2 linked regions of the Struthio camelus genome follow. The protein of the gene in region 1 interacts with the protein of each later gene in a pairwise test. Links are inferred from orthologs where the notes say so. Each region holds a gene or a part of one and is shown in the gene's direction. Other genes may lie near its edges. The genes, in order: FLT1 and SHC2.

Region 1 (7,907 bases):
CTCCTAGTAAACTACTAGGAAAACCTGATTAATTGCTCATGCCAGTTGATTAACTGTAATAAGAAATAATGAGCATCAGTAAATTATGTGCTCCCGTGGCCTCTACCTTCTTGCTGTGGTTAGATAGCTGCCTTCTTTACCTACCCCTAAGGTCGACTTAGTTTTGACAGTGCTCTGAATAGTCATATCCTTCTGTGAATGATGGGCAGCAGTGCTGTGAGATTGTCCTAAAAGGACTGAATCTTTGTTGCAGCTTTTAGTTATCTTACTCCACACACTGACCCGGCACAGAGCAGAGAGGCTGTAGAGTGTAAAGTAAAGCTCAGTCTTGCTGAGGGAAAGCACAGTCACAACCATAGTTGATGTCTTTGCCTGTGCTTCTATGCATATGCCTCATATATGCATCTGAGCAAGTACAAGTGGTTGTCCCATTAAACACTGTAGTACAGAGAAGAGGTCTTTCAGCTTTCTCTTCTTACAGTGCCGGAGAAAGATAAGGAACTTTACTTTCATTTAAATGAAACTTTGAATGTAGTACGTCCCTGCTGTTCATCCATGATTAATCCAAATAACAAAAGCAGCTAAAATTGGGAAGATGACGGTAAATCAAATTGACTTGATAACATGCTTCTCAAATTCTGTCCCTGACTTAGGGAGACGGAACCAAAGGAAATTAAAATAATGGTGACTGAGAACACTTCATTGACAAGGGACAGGGGAAGAGAGTTACAGGAAGGTCTTGGGCACACCCAGTCCATCTCGCCTAGGATATTGCTGCAGGCTTCAATTTCCCCAGGAGCTGGATGAGTGTGAGACGCTCCAACACTCTTCCAGCTATCACAGTTCACTGTGTCTCCCTTTGTGTGGCTGTGTTGTAAACCATACTAATGAAATTATTCAGGTTGAAAATGGCCCTCCATAAAAACTGGGCCAGTGAAATCCCGGGTTGTTTCACCAAACTGTTTTACACAGAGCTCTGAAAACAGTTGTGCCAGTGCAAAAGAGCAGCAGTGAACTGTAGTGTGGGGAGGAAGGGTGGACAAGGAGCACTGGATCCTTGCCTGCCAGCTCTGCCACTGAAAAAAATGTAATTTTTTTGGATGATTAACTGAGATATGCCTTTGCTTAAATTTTAGCTCCTGGGAGCACCCAGTCCTCTGTTAAGAAGTCAATTGGTAGATGCAGATTCTGCAGAAGACCTGCAGAGGGAGATCCAATCTACTTTGCTTTGATATCTTTCCCTCTCTCCCAACAGTGGGAAACCTGGGAATGTCTAGCAGGCAATCTAGCCTGCTGTTGTGAGGTGTGTACCTCTGTGCCATGAGCACAGGGGATCAACAGAAATCATTAGGTCCTTCAGTTCTCACTCCAATCCACGTAGTCTTTTCCTGAGGACAGGCTACTGCTGGTGCAGATGCTGGTAATAACGTTTTGTGTAATGCTCTGAACACTGGAACTGGTATCTCATGGAGCTAATTTTGAGCATCAGTGCAAATAAAAAAATTGCTACCATGACTGGAAAGAGTCAGGTCAGGCTGGGAGGGTATCAGCTGCTGGTATGAGTGGGATTTTCCAGGCTCTTTATTTTTTGCCACGTCCACGGGAACTGTCCAAGCTATTCCTCCCAGGAGACTTGGCTAAAACCTTAACTCAGGATGTGCCAGGTGTCCTGCTTCTAGCAGGGAATAGGATCCACAACCTCAGGATGTGTCCTAGTGACTTGACTAAGTCATATCCGGGTTGAGACGTCTCTCCACCCCACCTTGCTCTTGGGTGGTGTCTGTTTCTTTATAACATGTGCGTCTATTGCACAAGGCAGACCCAGGAAATGGGCTTGACCCCTTCCTCAGATGAATGCCCTAATTACTTGCCTTTTCAGTCAAATGTCCTATTGCTCGCTTTCTGTGGTGTTCCAATGAGTCTTGAAGGCCAGGGAGGGGGAAAGGATGCATATTGAAGAATTAGTGCTTTTGCTATCTGATAACTTATTTATCTTAGGGCTAGATGTATGGGTTGTTCAACCAAAAGGCTTGGCAGAATCATCTTACTCTAAAGCAGGGTAACATTCATGAACAATACAACGTACTGCTGGGCTGCAAGTGAACCCTTAAAACTGATGTCTACTGTGAGGGCTATTTCTTCTCCATCTTTTGCAGCTTCTATAGCGCTGGAGATTGAGCAGACAATCAGCCTTGCAGGAAAGATGTTTGTCTGCTATGTTTCAAAGAGGGCTTACTCTCAGCTGTTAAATTTGGCAGGTTTTCTTTCTAGCATTTGGTAATAATTTTTTTAGCAAATGTTAGAGAAAGGAGATTTCCCACTTTTCACAGCCAAAGGAAACATAATGCCCAAGGATAAGACTTGTCTGCACATATGCTACCTATTACTTAGTGCCAAACCTGAGCCTAAGATTCTGGTGTCAAGAGATCATATTGCCTGCAAGATGTACATTTGCCTGGAATGGGTCTATGGTTGGCCCATCAGCATTTGTATGGCCACAGCACCTAAGGCACTCTTCAAAATTAGCTCCCATCCGAGTAGCTATTGCAAGTTATGTCATAGTAGATACAAATAAGATCTTTCAAATAAGTTCCATGCTGCCTTCTCCTTCACCATACACTGTCCATCTGTCCAGATGCTTCAGCCTCTATGTTTAGAAACATAGATGTAGGTAGATGTGCCTTTCATCTACCTCCAGGCATATGCTTCCTATGGTGTTTTCATTCTGCCTTCTGAGAATATCTGCTGCCTCATTCTTGTCTGTATCTCCCTAAGGGGGTCTTTTTAATCTTCTTGCAGGCTCCACTGGCTTTAGTATATGAACTGGATTGAAGGGTTATGAACAGATCTTCAGGTCTGCCCTTCCTGTTCCTCAGTCCCTTGGGTGGATCAGGAGCTGATGACATCCGTTAGAGAAGGAAGGTGGTAAGTCTTGCCAAAGTGTTGTGGTCTTTGGAGGGCCATGACCAAATGCAGCTGCGGTGTAGGAGGTGTGAACAGGGTGGGAGCTGGTGTGGCATAGCTGCAGAGCTCATGATGGGGCCTGCATCATCACAGACTCAGCATGTACTCAGCACTGAGAAGGTCAAGGGCAGGGACAGAGAGTTCCCTTAGCTCCTTCCACAGGGAGCCCTTGCTCTTAGGGGGTCTGAGCTGTCAGGATGCCCATGGTCCTAATTCTGGTTAATCTATCCTCACTGGCTGACTGTTTTCCCAGTTGCTGTCCTCTCCACTGGAGGAGGTGATTTCTTATGAGTCATCCTCTTCAGGAAAGAAATTTTGGGGCTCTTCCCCCCATGGTGTAAGCAGATGAGGGGGAAGGTACCCATAACTATTTTATTTTCAAGGTCTCAGTTGGAGGCAGGATGATTGGAAAATATAAGCTTAAATTCTTAGCTTAGGGTGTCACTTATGAATAGGAATCTGACAGAAGCCTGCAGGAAATATTCTCACCAACTTTAAACTTGAAAGTTAAACAGTCCTCAAGTTAAAAACAACACCAACTTCTCATCTTTTTTCTTGCACAGGATGGTCTGGTGGGACACAGGAGATCTGAGTTCTATTTCTAGCTTCTGTCACCCGCTTCCTATGACCTTGGACTGGCTGCCTAACCTCTTTATGCGCCTCCATTTCCTCCTCTGTGAAATGGGGATAATCACATTTACCTGCCTCATGCAGAGACTCTTGAGACTTATTTCATAACATAAAAACATAGGAAGGGCCATACTGGGTCAGACCAAAGACCTCCTTCGCCCAATAGCCCATCTCTGGCTACAAAAGGGAGAAAGTGGAAACACATAGTGTAGGTTTTGTTGTCATGGGCTCCCTCTGGTCTCTCACAAAATAAAACAATCATGGAAAGCGTAAGGTAAATGCATGAGGAGGAGAAATACATTTCCAGCTTAGTCCTGGAAGTCATAGGGTCGATGAAGGCCGCCAACAGCACTGGGCACACTCCTGGAACATCTTTAGCCCGTGCTGCCTCTTTGCTGCCCAGAGTGCTCCATGCTGCTTGCTGGGGACCCCGTGCTGACCCTCTGGGGGGAAGGTGGGGAGAGCAGCCCCGGGCACCTGGCAGGGCTGTTCCCGGGGTGCTGCGGGTGCACGGGGTGCTGCCAGGCTCCCCGAGCGCCCTGTCCGACAGCACGGGAAAAGGTGGGAGTGCCGGTCTCACCTGGCCCTAACTCCACGCTCCTCACCACGGGAAGCACCGCTGGCTCTTTGCGGTGCAGGAGGCCGGCGCTGCGGCACGGGACGCCCCTAGCACTTCTGCGGGGAACCCGTCTGGTCTGGAGGCACGAGTGTGTTGCGCGCCTTGCCGGGCGGAGCCGGTCGGCCCCGTCCTACACCGCGGCGCCGACGGGGGCGGTGAGCCCCTCCGGGACCCCATCCCGGTGCGGGGCAGCCGCTGGGAAGTCCCCAGCGCCGGGCCGGGCGGGGCCGGGCGGCGGCGGCGGCGGGAGGGCACGGCCGGCTGGAGCCGGGCGCTGCGTCGGGGGCGGCGCGGGGCCGGGAGGGCTGCGGGAGCGCCCCGTGCCTGCCGTGGGGCGGGCGGGGGGTCCCGTGACGCGTCCCGGGGAGGGCGGAGGATGTGGGCCGGGGGTGGGGGTGCGCGGTGAGGGGTGGAGAAGTTATAAATCAGCGGGGCGGCGGCTGGCTGGTAATTGATGTCGGCGGGAGGTGAAGCAGGCAGGGCGGCCGGCTGCGGACACTCCCTTTTCCGCGGGCAGGGGCGGGCGGGGAGGGCTCGGGGGCTGCTGGATGCTGGTCCCGCGCCGCGCTGCACCGTTATCTCCGCCGCCGCGGGAGGAGCCCCGGACGGAGGAGAGCCCGTCGGAGCCCAGCCGGCGCCTCTGCCTCGCTGCCGTCGGCAGGGGAAGAGCCCTGCGCTCCCCGCGGGCAGGACCATGCCCTGCCAGCTGCTCTCTGGGACCGTGCTGCTGGGGGCCGCCCTGCTGCTCGCAGGTAAGGCCCCTGCCCCGTCGCGGGGCTGCCGCCCCCCGGACCCGAGCCCCGCTGCCCCTTGCCCATCCTGCTCCCCCCACACACCCCCGCGGGGATCTCCGCGACGCGGCCCCACCGGCTCCCTCCTCGGCGGGGTCCCGCACCCTCCCCGGCCGCCGCTTCCCACCTGCCTCCCCTCGGCACCCGGCGGCTCCCCAGAGCCCCCGGCGGGGGGGAGGCGACGGCCATCGCGGCTCCTCAGAGAGTCGGGAAAGGCCGGATCCCGAGGGGGCTTCACCCTCCGGCTCCCGGCCGCCTGCCCTGGGGCAACAGCGGGAGGCGGCTGGAGAGAGGCGCGCCGGGGCGCCGGCGGGTGCGGAGCCTCCGCGCCTCTCCCGGGCAGCCAGCGGTGCCGGCGGGGAGCCGAGCGGCCGCGGGGGGCCCGACCAGCCCCAGGCGTTGTCCCAACCGGTGCGACAGCATCACGGAAAGAAAACAGGTCTAGGCTCCAGGGCAGGCTTTTTTTCTTCCCCTCTTTGTTTCGAAGTGTCAGCCTCTCCCGGTTCTACCCGTTAAGTAGGAAAGGAAGGTTACCCATTTCCTTCGCAAAACACACATCCTCGTGGCCGCCCCCGGGCAGGACCGCACGTCCGCGGAGCACCGGCCGGCGCTGCCTGCGCGTTAAGGGTGGCCGCGCTGGAGCTGCCTAGCGCGGACGCGCGCGGAGAGCGGGAGGGCGCTGCTCGCCGGCGCTGGCCTCGCGCAAGGCTGCGCGGTGCCGGGATAGAGGAGCGCACAGATTTGTTCCTCCTAATGGAGTTACATTTTACTTTGGGAGAGGAGCTTGCCCTGCTAGGCCGGTGCGCCGTGAGCTGGAGCGTGTGCCCGCATGGCATTGCTGCTCGCCGGGGAGCAGGGCTGCGTGGGGCCGGGCACGGTGCCGGTCCCGCGGGAGCTCCTCGCTGCCGGTCTGCGGAGCTCCCCGAGGGGCAGGTCTGCGGCCCCGGCAGCCTCCGCGGGCAGGCGCGCAGCATGGTCTGGCCTGACCGAGCTTGGGGCGAGGGCAAATCCCGCCGGGAGAGTGGGAAAACTGAGCTCTCCGCGGCCGTCACCGAGGCCAGTGACCGCGCAGCGCGGCGTCTCTGTGGTCAGGGCTGCGGCCACCCGACCTGCGGCGCTCCCCCTCACAAGTGGCCGAGGGCTCGGGCTGCTCCTCCGCGAGTGCCCGCGGGAGCGGCCCCTGCGTGGCGCGGAGCGGAGTGATGCCCGCGGGAGGGGCCCCTGCGCGGAGCGGCGCGGAGCGGAGTGATGCCCGCGGGAGCGGCCCCTGCGCGGAGCGGCGCGGAGCGGAGTGATGCCCGCGGGAGCGGCCCCTGCGAGGCGCGGCGCGGCGCTCCTCGGCGGCTGCCGGTGCTGCCGGCCGACAGCAGCCGCGTCCCGGGGCTGCCCGGGGTGACCGCGAGCAGGGGCTGCTCTGAGGAGACGTTTTCCTACTCGGGAAAGGCTGATTCATCAATTTATATATATATATGTATGTGTGTATATATATTTGTTTGTGTGTATGTGTGTCTGTGTGTACATACATTTTCCCCCCCGGGAAAGTGCTATTTTTCCCGTATTATTTATCCCTGCCAAGGAGGTTCTCATACCCAGGATGAAGTAGGCACAGGCACGGGACGCCTGCCCTCGGTACAGGAAATGTTAGTTCAGATCCTTACTAGGCTTCCTTCAGAGCATGGGCTTGAACTCCAGTGTCCGGCTCCCACATGTGCTCCTGAAGTGACCAGCTACTCTGGGGCACTGGCTTCCTCTTTCCTGTTGGAAAGGTTTCCCGTTGTGCAAATCATGACAAACCACTGCCCAAAGAGAAGATGAACTCTGTGATCCAAGGGCTGTGAGAGACTGGATCACTTTCCTGTTCCCCGTGCTACCCAGGGATATATACACCTTAGAACAGCTCCAGTGGGAAAAGCTAAGCTTGCTTAGTGGAAAAGCTGGTGCTCTGGGCACTGGACTACCATGAGGTACATCCTGGGACTGGCTCAGGCGCAATAGGTGCTGGAAGAGTGCTTTGTTGTAGTTTGACTGAGTACCTTTGCAACCTCTTTGCTGGCAATTCCCTCCCTTCCCCCCAAGTATGATAAGTTAAGGTCCAAATCAAGATTAGGACTTTCTTGAAATTGTTCATCTTGTTACAATTTGTTTTGCTGAAAAGGAAATTGTCCCTTGCACAGCTTTGTCTAGGCATTCCAGATAGGTTGATCGTGCCTCTTCTGAGTCAGCAGTAAAACTCTCCGTACTTGCATTTGCACCTGGCATTTTAAAATTACGGGTGAAGTGGCGGGATGTTTTATACCATGCATAGATACTCACAATACTTCTCTTTCCATGTCATCCTCCTACACTGCTTGTTTGTCTAAAACTGTTACTCAGGCTGGTCAGCGCTTCCCCTTTCAAGTGTTCTTGATGAAACTCGATTCATCACTGCCGTGCGGTCCCCTGCTGTGGTTTAATCTCGAAGGGCATCTGCTCAGCTCCCATTGACCAACAGGTACTGGAGTACATTCACAGAAAAAGTCAGTAGTTCAGGAGTTACTGCAGACAGTTTCATAGGGAAGGGACAGAAGGAAGTCTTTTAGCTTGTATATGTCTAAATTTAAATCTCCCCAAAGCAGTATGCAAACTGCAAGCCACGAGACTTCCCATTTCAAAATGAGATTAAGGAAATCATATTTCTTTGACTTGTGAGTGCTGGGAACTTTAGTCCTCTGATATTTCTATGCATATGCATATTTTGTGTTCTCCGCTGTGATGTGGGAAGGAACAATATTTTTGTATCTGTTCTGCATAGTGTTTGGATACATTTGCTTTATAGTTTGTATATATTTAGTCCACAAATTATATCGAATACATTTATGCTAAAGCCTGTATACATAAAGGTCAAAATGAAGACTTTGGGGCCG
Region 2 (7,538 bases), on another chromosome or scaffold:
CTTCCCCTGTGTCCAGGAGAACGAAACTGCGCGTGGATCCTTTGTGCTGTCTCGCTCCTGCCAGCAAGCCCAAGGAAGCAGCCGCTGGCAAACGGCAGCTCTGAACCGGCCTCTTCCCTCCCTGCGAGCTCGGCGGGGGGAGGCAGCCCCCGCCGCTATTTATGGCTGAGGTCAGGCCAGCAGCTTGCACTAAAAAGCCAGAGCGCATTGTCCTCGAAATGCAGAGCATTCGTAATTACAATCGATACACCTTTCTTCCCTGCTCAGCCCCGCGCAGGACAAGCTGCCCGTCCTCCCGTCCCCAGCCCACCTCCCCTTGCGGGTCTGGCCCGGCCGGCGGCGGCGCCGGGCTCCTGCGGCCCCGGGGGCTGCGGGAGCGGCTTTTCCCGGCTTTCGTACAGGCTCCGAGCTCGGGCGCTCCTCCGCCCCGCGCTCGGAGCGGGTCGCAAAGGAGGGAGGGCGGCGTTTGCAGGGCAGCGTGGCCCTCGGGGCACCCGGGGCTCGCGGGGGGCTGGAGCGGGGGGTCCCGGCCCTGCTGCGCCCCGAGCCACCCCGGCCCCCCAGCTCCGTCCAGCTCCTTTGAGAGCCGCCTGGGGCTGAGGCCGGTGGTGCGGTGCGGGCACCCGCGGGGCTGAACCCCGGCCCCAGCCCGCCGCCTGGGGGGCTGCTGCGGCCCCCACCGGCCCTCCAGCCCCGGCGCCACCGTCTCCCGGCCCCTCGCCAGCTCCCCGCCAGCTTGTACCGTCGCGGCCCCGAGGCCCTGGACCGGCAGGAGCGAGCCCGGGCTCCCCGCGGGCATCCTCGCGCTGGGATGGCCCCTGGCCGCGGGAGCGGGGAGCAGCGGGCGCAGCGGGGCTGCCATCGCCGGCCGCCTGCTCGGCGATGCATCGCGCCTGCTGGCCTTCGCCGGCCGACGGGCCGGGCTGGGTTCCCCTTTGCAGCCCGGGGACCTGCAATAAATAAAGCGGCAGCACGCTGTGGCCCCCGCGCGTCTGCCTCCCGCCCCGCCGGGGTGGCCGAGGCCGAGGCAGCGGCGAGAGTGGCTGCCGGGGGGGCTGGGGAGAGGCGCTGGCACCCGGCCCCAGCGGGGCCGCGGCTGCGGGAGCAGAGGGGAGCGTGCTGGCACGGGGCTCCTCGCCCGGACCGTCGCCCCCGCAGCCCCGCTCGGCGGCAGCCGGCTGCATCCGTCCCCTCTCGGCCACCTTCGGTCGGGGTGGCTGCAGCCCGATGCCTCCCGGGAGGGTTCGAGGCCTTTTCCCTCCCAGCCTGGCTGCCAGGGGGAGAAATTTGGAGAAAGAGGCGGCCATGCCGTGGGGCAGGAGGGCTCGAGGCCGCCTGGTCCCGGGAGCTCAGCACTGACAGCTCGTCACACGTGTGCTCGGCCGTGCACGCGCCTGCTCTCCTCTCCTAATTAATCCTTCGTGGGCTTGAGAGCACTTGATGTCGATTCCCCTCGTGCAGCGCCAGAGGTGTAAGGAGATTAATTAGCACGGTTCAGAACGGTTATGCAAATCGCCCACCGCCGGGGAGAGCCGGGGTGCAGTCCAGCGGCCCCGGGAATCGCCCCGCGCTGCAGCAGAAGCGCGGGCTCCCGGGGAGGGGGGATCGCCCGGCCCCGCTCGGCCCGGCCGCGGGGGCTGCCGCGCGCCCCGCTGCCCCCCGGGCTTCGCTCTCGCGGGCTTTCCTTTAGGTCGTGGTTAAAAACAGGCAGGGGAAAGCCGTCGACGTGCAGCTAAGCGTCCAGAGTCTGAGACCGGCTGCGAACGAGATGAAAATAATCCCTTGGCCCCCGGGGACTGGTGCAAGGGAGGAGAGCGGCTCGCAGCGCCGCGGGGCAGCGGGACGTGGGGCGAGCGCGGCGCGGGGACCGGCCGCTCACCCCCATCCCGGCTGGCGCCGCGACGGCAGCACCGAGGAGCCCAACCCGGGGCTTTGCGGCTGTTTAAAAACAAAACCGAGGAGAGCAGCGAGAGGCTGGGAGAAGAGAAGCGGTTCCTAATACGGCAATAGCAAATGTAATTCTATTACCGTGATTTATTGATTGCACTTAGAGCAATTACTGGCGTCCCCCCCCTCACCTGCCGGGCGCGGGAGCCGGCACGGAGGAGGCAGGACGCCGGTGGCCGCGCTGCCCGACACGGCAGAGGGAATACCGGGGAGCGGGGTGGGCTGCGAGGGGGCACGACTGCCCCGTGGGGCTGCAACATCCCGTCGCCTCACACTGGCGGGGCTGGCGCCCACCCCTGCCCACGCGGCTGCCGGCAGCTCCGGTGGGACCAGCTCCGCTCTGGGCATGGGGCTGCAGGGGGCACAGCCCGGACCTCCCCGAGCCGCTGGTGGGGGCTCGGGCGGCATGGCCTGGGCTCGACAGGAGGCCGGAGTCCTTTCCACCCCTGGAAAAAAGAGACAGCCCCAGGTCTGGAGAGGGAGAGCGTTAGCGGGATTGTTCTGAGCTCAGAAAGTCCCTGCAAGGTTTTTTCTTTGCTTGCTGCAGATACTGGCAGAGAAGCAAGAAAATGATTGTGCTTTTTACCGGCAGCGCCCTCCAGACAGATATAAACATGCAAGAGACAGGCCTGGCTTTGGAGGCAGACAAACTCGGCGTGAACGAGACCACTGGGTTGGGAGGCAGAGAAATAGGCCAGCCCCACTGCGCGGCGGAGCCTTGCAAAGCCAGCCCCAGGCTCCCTGCAAACATTTCCCGATGCTGGAGACACGGAAAAGAGGAGAAAACATCCCAGGCGCAGGAGAGGGCAGGGGCTGGGGGCTGCTGGCCCTTCAGGAGCTGCCTCCTCGCCACTCAAGCTAATTGCAAGCGGGAGCTGCAGAGGAGACCATGCATCACGCTTTATGGCTCCCAGCGGGCAGGCAGTAGCTCTCCCCGGCTCCACGTCACCCGGGAGGCTCCGAGCCCGTTAACCCTGCAGCACCTGCTGCAAAGCCGGGCACCGTGGGGCAGCGGCCGGCCCCGGCCAGGGGCTCCGCTCGGCCATGGCCGCGGCGAGCTGGCTGGGAGCGGGGCGCGGGGCAGGCAGCGCCGTGCAGCTCTGTCCCCATGGGGCTGTGCATGCGGAGGGTGTGCGGACGTGGCGGGGCACCCCCGAGGCCTGGGGGGCTGCAAGGCCGTGCCTGGGGCTCTGCCGGGACAGCACGGGTACCCCAGGCCGTGCAGGGAAAACCCCGCTGGCCTCCATCTCCCAGCTTCGGGGGTCGAGGCATGTCCCCTGCCCTCCTCAGAAGGGATCCGGTGCAGGGACTGTTTCTGCCCTTCCCTGGGGCTCTGTCGCCCCTTCCCTGCAGAGTCAAGGGCTCAGGGGGCAGTGGGGCTGGAGGGATGCTCATGGGCCAGGAAGGATGCTTGCATGGCAGGAGGGATGCGTGTGGTGCCAAAGGCATGTGCGTGGGGTGGGAGGGATGCTTGCACAGCTTAACGGATGCTCGTGGGGCCAGAGGGATGCTGATGGGGCAGGAGGGATGTGCGTGGGGTGGGAGGGATGCTCACAGGGCCAGAGGGATGCTCATGGGGTCAGAGGGATGCTGATGGGGCTGGAGGGATGCTGATGGGGCGGGAGGGATGCTGCACGGCTGGAGGGATGCTGATGGGGCGGGAGGGATGCTGCACAGCTGAAGAGATGCTGATGGGGCGGGAGGGATGCTGCACGGCTGGAGGGATGCTGATGGGGTGGGAGGGACACTTGCATGGCTAGAGGGATGCTTGTGGGGCTAGAGGGATGTGTGTGGGGCCAGAGGGATGCTGATGAAGCAGGAGGGATGCTGCATGGCTGGAGGAATGCTGATGGGGCGGGAGGGATGCTGCACGGCTGGAGGGATGCTGATGGGGCGGGAGGGATGCTGCACGGCTGGAGGGATGCTGATGGGGTGGGAGGGACACTTGCATGGCTAGAGGGATGCTTGTGGGGCTAGAGGGATGTGTGTGGGGCCAGAGGGATGCTGATGAAGCAGGAGGGATGCTGCATGGCTGGAGGAATGCTGATGGGGCAGGAGGGATGCTGCACGGCTGGAGGGATGCTGATAGAGCAGGAGGGATGCTGCACGGCTGGAGGGATGCTGATGGGGCGGGAGGGATGCTGCACGGCTGGAGGGATGCTGATGGGGCGGGAGGGACACTTGCATGGCTAGAGGGATGCTTGTGGGGCTAGAGGGATGTGTGTGGGGCCAGAGGGATGCTGATGAAGCAGGAGGGATGCTGCACGGCTGGAGGGATGCTGATGGGGCGGGAGGGATGCTGCACGGCTGGAGGGATGCTGATGGGGCGGGAGGGATGCTGCGCGGCTGGAGGGATGCTGATGGGGCGGGAGGGACGCGCACAGGGCGGGAGGGACGCGCGGGGTGGGAGGGATGCTCGCGGGGCGGCCTTGGGCGCGCAGCCTGCCGGCCGGCGAGCACTCACACCATGACATCACCGCGCCGCCAGCCCCGGGGGAGCGGGCAGGGGGTGGGGGCCGGCGCGGGCAGCCGCGCCGCCAGCGCGCGCCGCGCCAGGCAGCCGCTCCAGAGGCACGGCCGCAGCGCGGGGCATGCTCCCGGAGCCCAAGTATGACCGCTTTCGCAACGACACGCTGACGGCCGCGGCCGCCCCGCGCCACCCGCCGGCCGCCCCCATGCCGTCGCCGGCCCCCTCGCCCGCCGGCGCGGCCCCGGCCCTGGCCCACCCGTGTCCCCCGCTCGGCGAGGAGCAGGAGGCCGTCACCACCTTCTGCATGCTCATCCCCAGGATGCCCCAGTGGAAGTTCCCCGGCCCCACGGGCTTCCTCAGCCGCAGCCCTTCGGGCTCCAGCAAGGAGCTCTCCTCGCCGGCCAAGGCGGGGGGCCCCGCGGAGCCGGGGGGGCCCCCCTCCAGCCTGGCCGCCGTGCTGAGCGCCTGCGAGCCCGTCTGCTCGGCGCCCTGCTCGCTGCAGGTGATGAGCCGGCTGCGCGGCGGGGCTGGGGCCGCCAGGAAGGCCGCCCGCGTCGAGGGGGCCAAGCTGGCCGGCGACGAGTGGACCCGCAAGGGCAGCTTCATCAGCAAGCCGGCGCAGGGCTGGCTCCATCCCGACGAGCGGGTGCTGGGACCCGGCGTCTCCTACATCGTCCGGGTAAGTCTGGCTGCGGCCGCGTCCTGGTGGGCAGGCGCGAAGCCCCCGGCGCCAAGCGGTGCCGTTGCCCCAGGACCGGGTGCTGCCCGGCTGGGGAGCTCCGCGCCAGCCTCCTGGGGGCTCCATGCTTGGCGCAGGGGCCGCGGCGATGGTTTCCGGGGCCGAAGGCTGCTGGCAGGCTGCACCGTGCTGCGGCCACGCGCCTGGCTCCGAACCAGCCCAGCCTGCACGCGGCTCGGGGCCGGGCGGACGCTCGGGGCCGGGGAGCGAGGCAGAGCCCAGGGATGCTCTGCCAGGACGCACCTGCCCCACGGCCCCGCCGTGCCTCAGTTTCCCTCCAGCCAAAGGGCCGTGCCTGCAGGGGAGCTGGCCGGCAGGGTGACTGGGCGGGTGGCCCCGCGCGGGCGCTGCAGGCGGCAGCCGGCTGCGGGCTGGGGCGATGCTCGGGGCGGGCAGGCCCGGTGGCACGGCGGCGGGCGCCATCCGCGCAGCCCTTTCTCCCCGTCACGTGGCGGCCGAGCTCTGTGAAGCCACTGGCACACGGCGGGGAGGGCGGCTGGGCCGGCTGGGGGCTCCCCGGCCCGGGGGAGCAGCTCTGGGACGTGGCCGGAGCCAGCCCCTCGCAGGCAGACGAGCGTGCCGGGTCTCAGCGCGGGTTCGGGGGCGCGACGGAGCCTCCCCGCTGGGCGTCTGCGCATCGGGGCGAGCCCCGGCGCGGGGTCTCGGGACGCCCCCTCGCCGCCCCGGCTCCCCTCCTTCGCGCCGGTGGCCGCTCTGAGCACCCTCCCCTCCTGCCGCCCCGCAGTACATGGGCTGCATCGAGGTGCTGCGCTCCATGCGGTCCCTGGACTTCAACACCCGCACGCAGGTCACCAGGTAGGGAGGGCCCCGCGCCCCGCCGGCCCCGGCAGTGGCTTCCCTCCCTGCGGGGAGGTGGGGGACGGGGCCGCGGTCGGGGACCCTGCGCCAGGATGGAGATGGAGATGGGGATGGAGATGGGGATGGGGATGGGGATGGGGATGGGGATGGGGATGGGGACCCCTGCACCATGCTGGTGATGATGCCATGGTTGGGGACCCCTGTGCCGTGCCAGAGATGGGGATGGGGACCCCTGCGGCATGCCAGGGATGAGGCCACGGTTGGGTGCCCCTGCACTGTGCTGGGGATGGGAACAGGGACCCCTGCACTGTGCTGGGGACAAGGCCATGGTTGTGGACCCCCGTGCCATGCTGGTGATGAGGCCACAGTCGGGGACCCTTTTGCTGTGCCAGGGCCGGGGCTGTGGTCAGGGACCCTTGTGCTGTGCTGGGGACGGGGTCCCCCATGCTGTGCCGGGGACGGGGCCACGATCGGGGACCCTTGTGCTGGGCTGGGGACGTGGGAGCGGCGCGGCGAAGGGCACCTGCTGCCGATCGATAGCAGAAAGAGGAGAAGGGAGGCGGCTCCGGCCGGGATTATTCACCCGCGGCAGCGGTGACATTGGGGACGGCGGGGGGGGGGGCTGCGGCTGGCCGTGCCCAGGGGACCGGGGGGCCGGGGGGGCCGGGGCTGTGCAGCCGTGACCCCCTGGCGCGGCGCTCGCAGGGAAGCCATCAACAGACTGTACGAGGCGGTGCCGGGCGTGAAGGGCATCTGGAAGAAGAAGGTGAGTTCCCAGCCCGGCCGGCGGCTGCTTCCCGGGGCCGAGCCGGGCCGGGGGTCCTCCCCGCGGGTCGCCCCGTGCCCGGCGCCTCGCTGCCCTCCTTGGCCCCGAGAAACCCGGCCGGGGGGCTGCTCAGCCCAGCGCCGCCCCGTCGCCCCCAGGCCCCCAACAAGGCGCTCTTCTCCATCCTGGGCAAGAGCAACCTCCGCTTCGCCGGCATGAGCATCGCCGTCAACATCTCCGTCGACGGCCTCAACCTCAGCATCCCCAGCACGCGGCAGGTGAGCGGAGCGGCGGCCAGGCGGCGGCCGGGCGGCGGCGGGGGGGCCCCGCGCTCACCCCGCTCCGGGCCGCGTCTCCCCGCAGATCGTCGCCCACCACCACATGCAGTCCATCTCCTTCGCCTCCGGCGGGGACGCGGTGAGGAGCGGGGCCGAGGCGCGGGGTGGGCGCCCCGCGGCGCTCCGGAGGCGGCCCCGGCCCTGACCGCCCCTCCGTGCCCCCAGGACACCACCGACTACGTGGCCTACGTCGCCAAGGACCCCATCAACCAGAGAGGTGACGCTCGCCCGGGAGCCCGCGGGGCGGCGGGGAGGGGGCGCGGGCAGGAGGGCTGAGCCGGGGGCCGGGGCCGGAGCGGGGGACGCGGCGGAGGGGGGCGGCCGAGCCTCCGTCCCTCCGTCCGTCCGCCCGTCCGTCCGTCCGCAGCCTGCCACATCCTGGAGTGCTGCGAGGGGCTGGCGCAGAGCGTCATCAGCACGGTGGGCCAGGCCTTCGAGCTGCGCTTCAAGCAGTACCTG

Evidence for each region.
Region 2: the proteins of FLT1 (region 1) and SHC2 interact in a two-hybrid assay, tested with the Homo sapiens proteins (2 studies listed by BioGRID). The link is inferred for Struthio camelus from reciprocal best matches to the Homo sapiens genes FLT1 and SHC2.

The regions. Positions count from the first base shown.
Region 1 is NC_090942.1:200,285,027-200,292,933, forward strand, and holds the start of FLT1 (vascular endothelial growth factor receptor 1), read left to right. Parts: upstream 1-4,653; 5' UTR 4,654-4,667; coding exon 4,668-4,965; intron 4,966-7,907. UniProt on the Homo sapiens protein: Tyrosine-protein kinase that acts as a cell-surface receptor for VEGFA, VEGFB and PGF, and plays an essential role in the development of embryonic vasculature, the regulation of angiogenesis, cell survival, cell migration, macrophage function, chemotaxis, and cancer cell invasion.
Region 2 is NC_090967.1:7,690,551-7,698,088, forward strand, and holds the start of SHC2 (SHC-transforming protein 2), read left to right. Parts: upstream 1-4,532; 5' UTR 4,533-4,538; coding exon 4,539-5,096; intron 5,097-5,901; coding exon 5,902-5,972; intron 5,973-6,680; coding exon 6,681-6,741; intron 6,742-6,899; coding exon 6,900-7,019; intron 7,020-7,104; coding exon 7,105-7,158; intron 7,159-7,244; coding exon 7,245-7,296; intron 7,297-7,446; coding exon 7,447-7,538. UniProt on the Homo sapiens protein: Signaling adapter that couples activated growth factor receptors to signaling pathway in neurons. Involved in the signal transduction pathways of neurotrophin-activated Trk receptors in cortical neurons.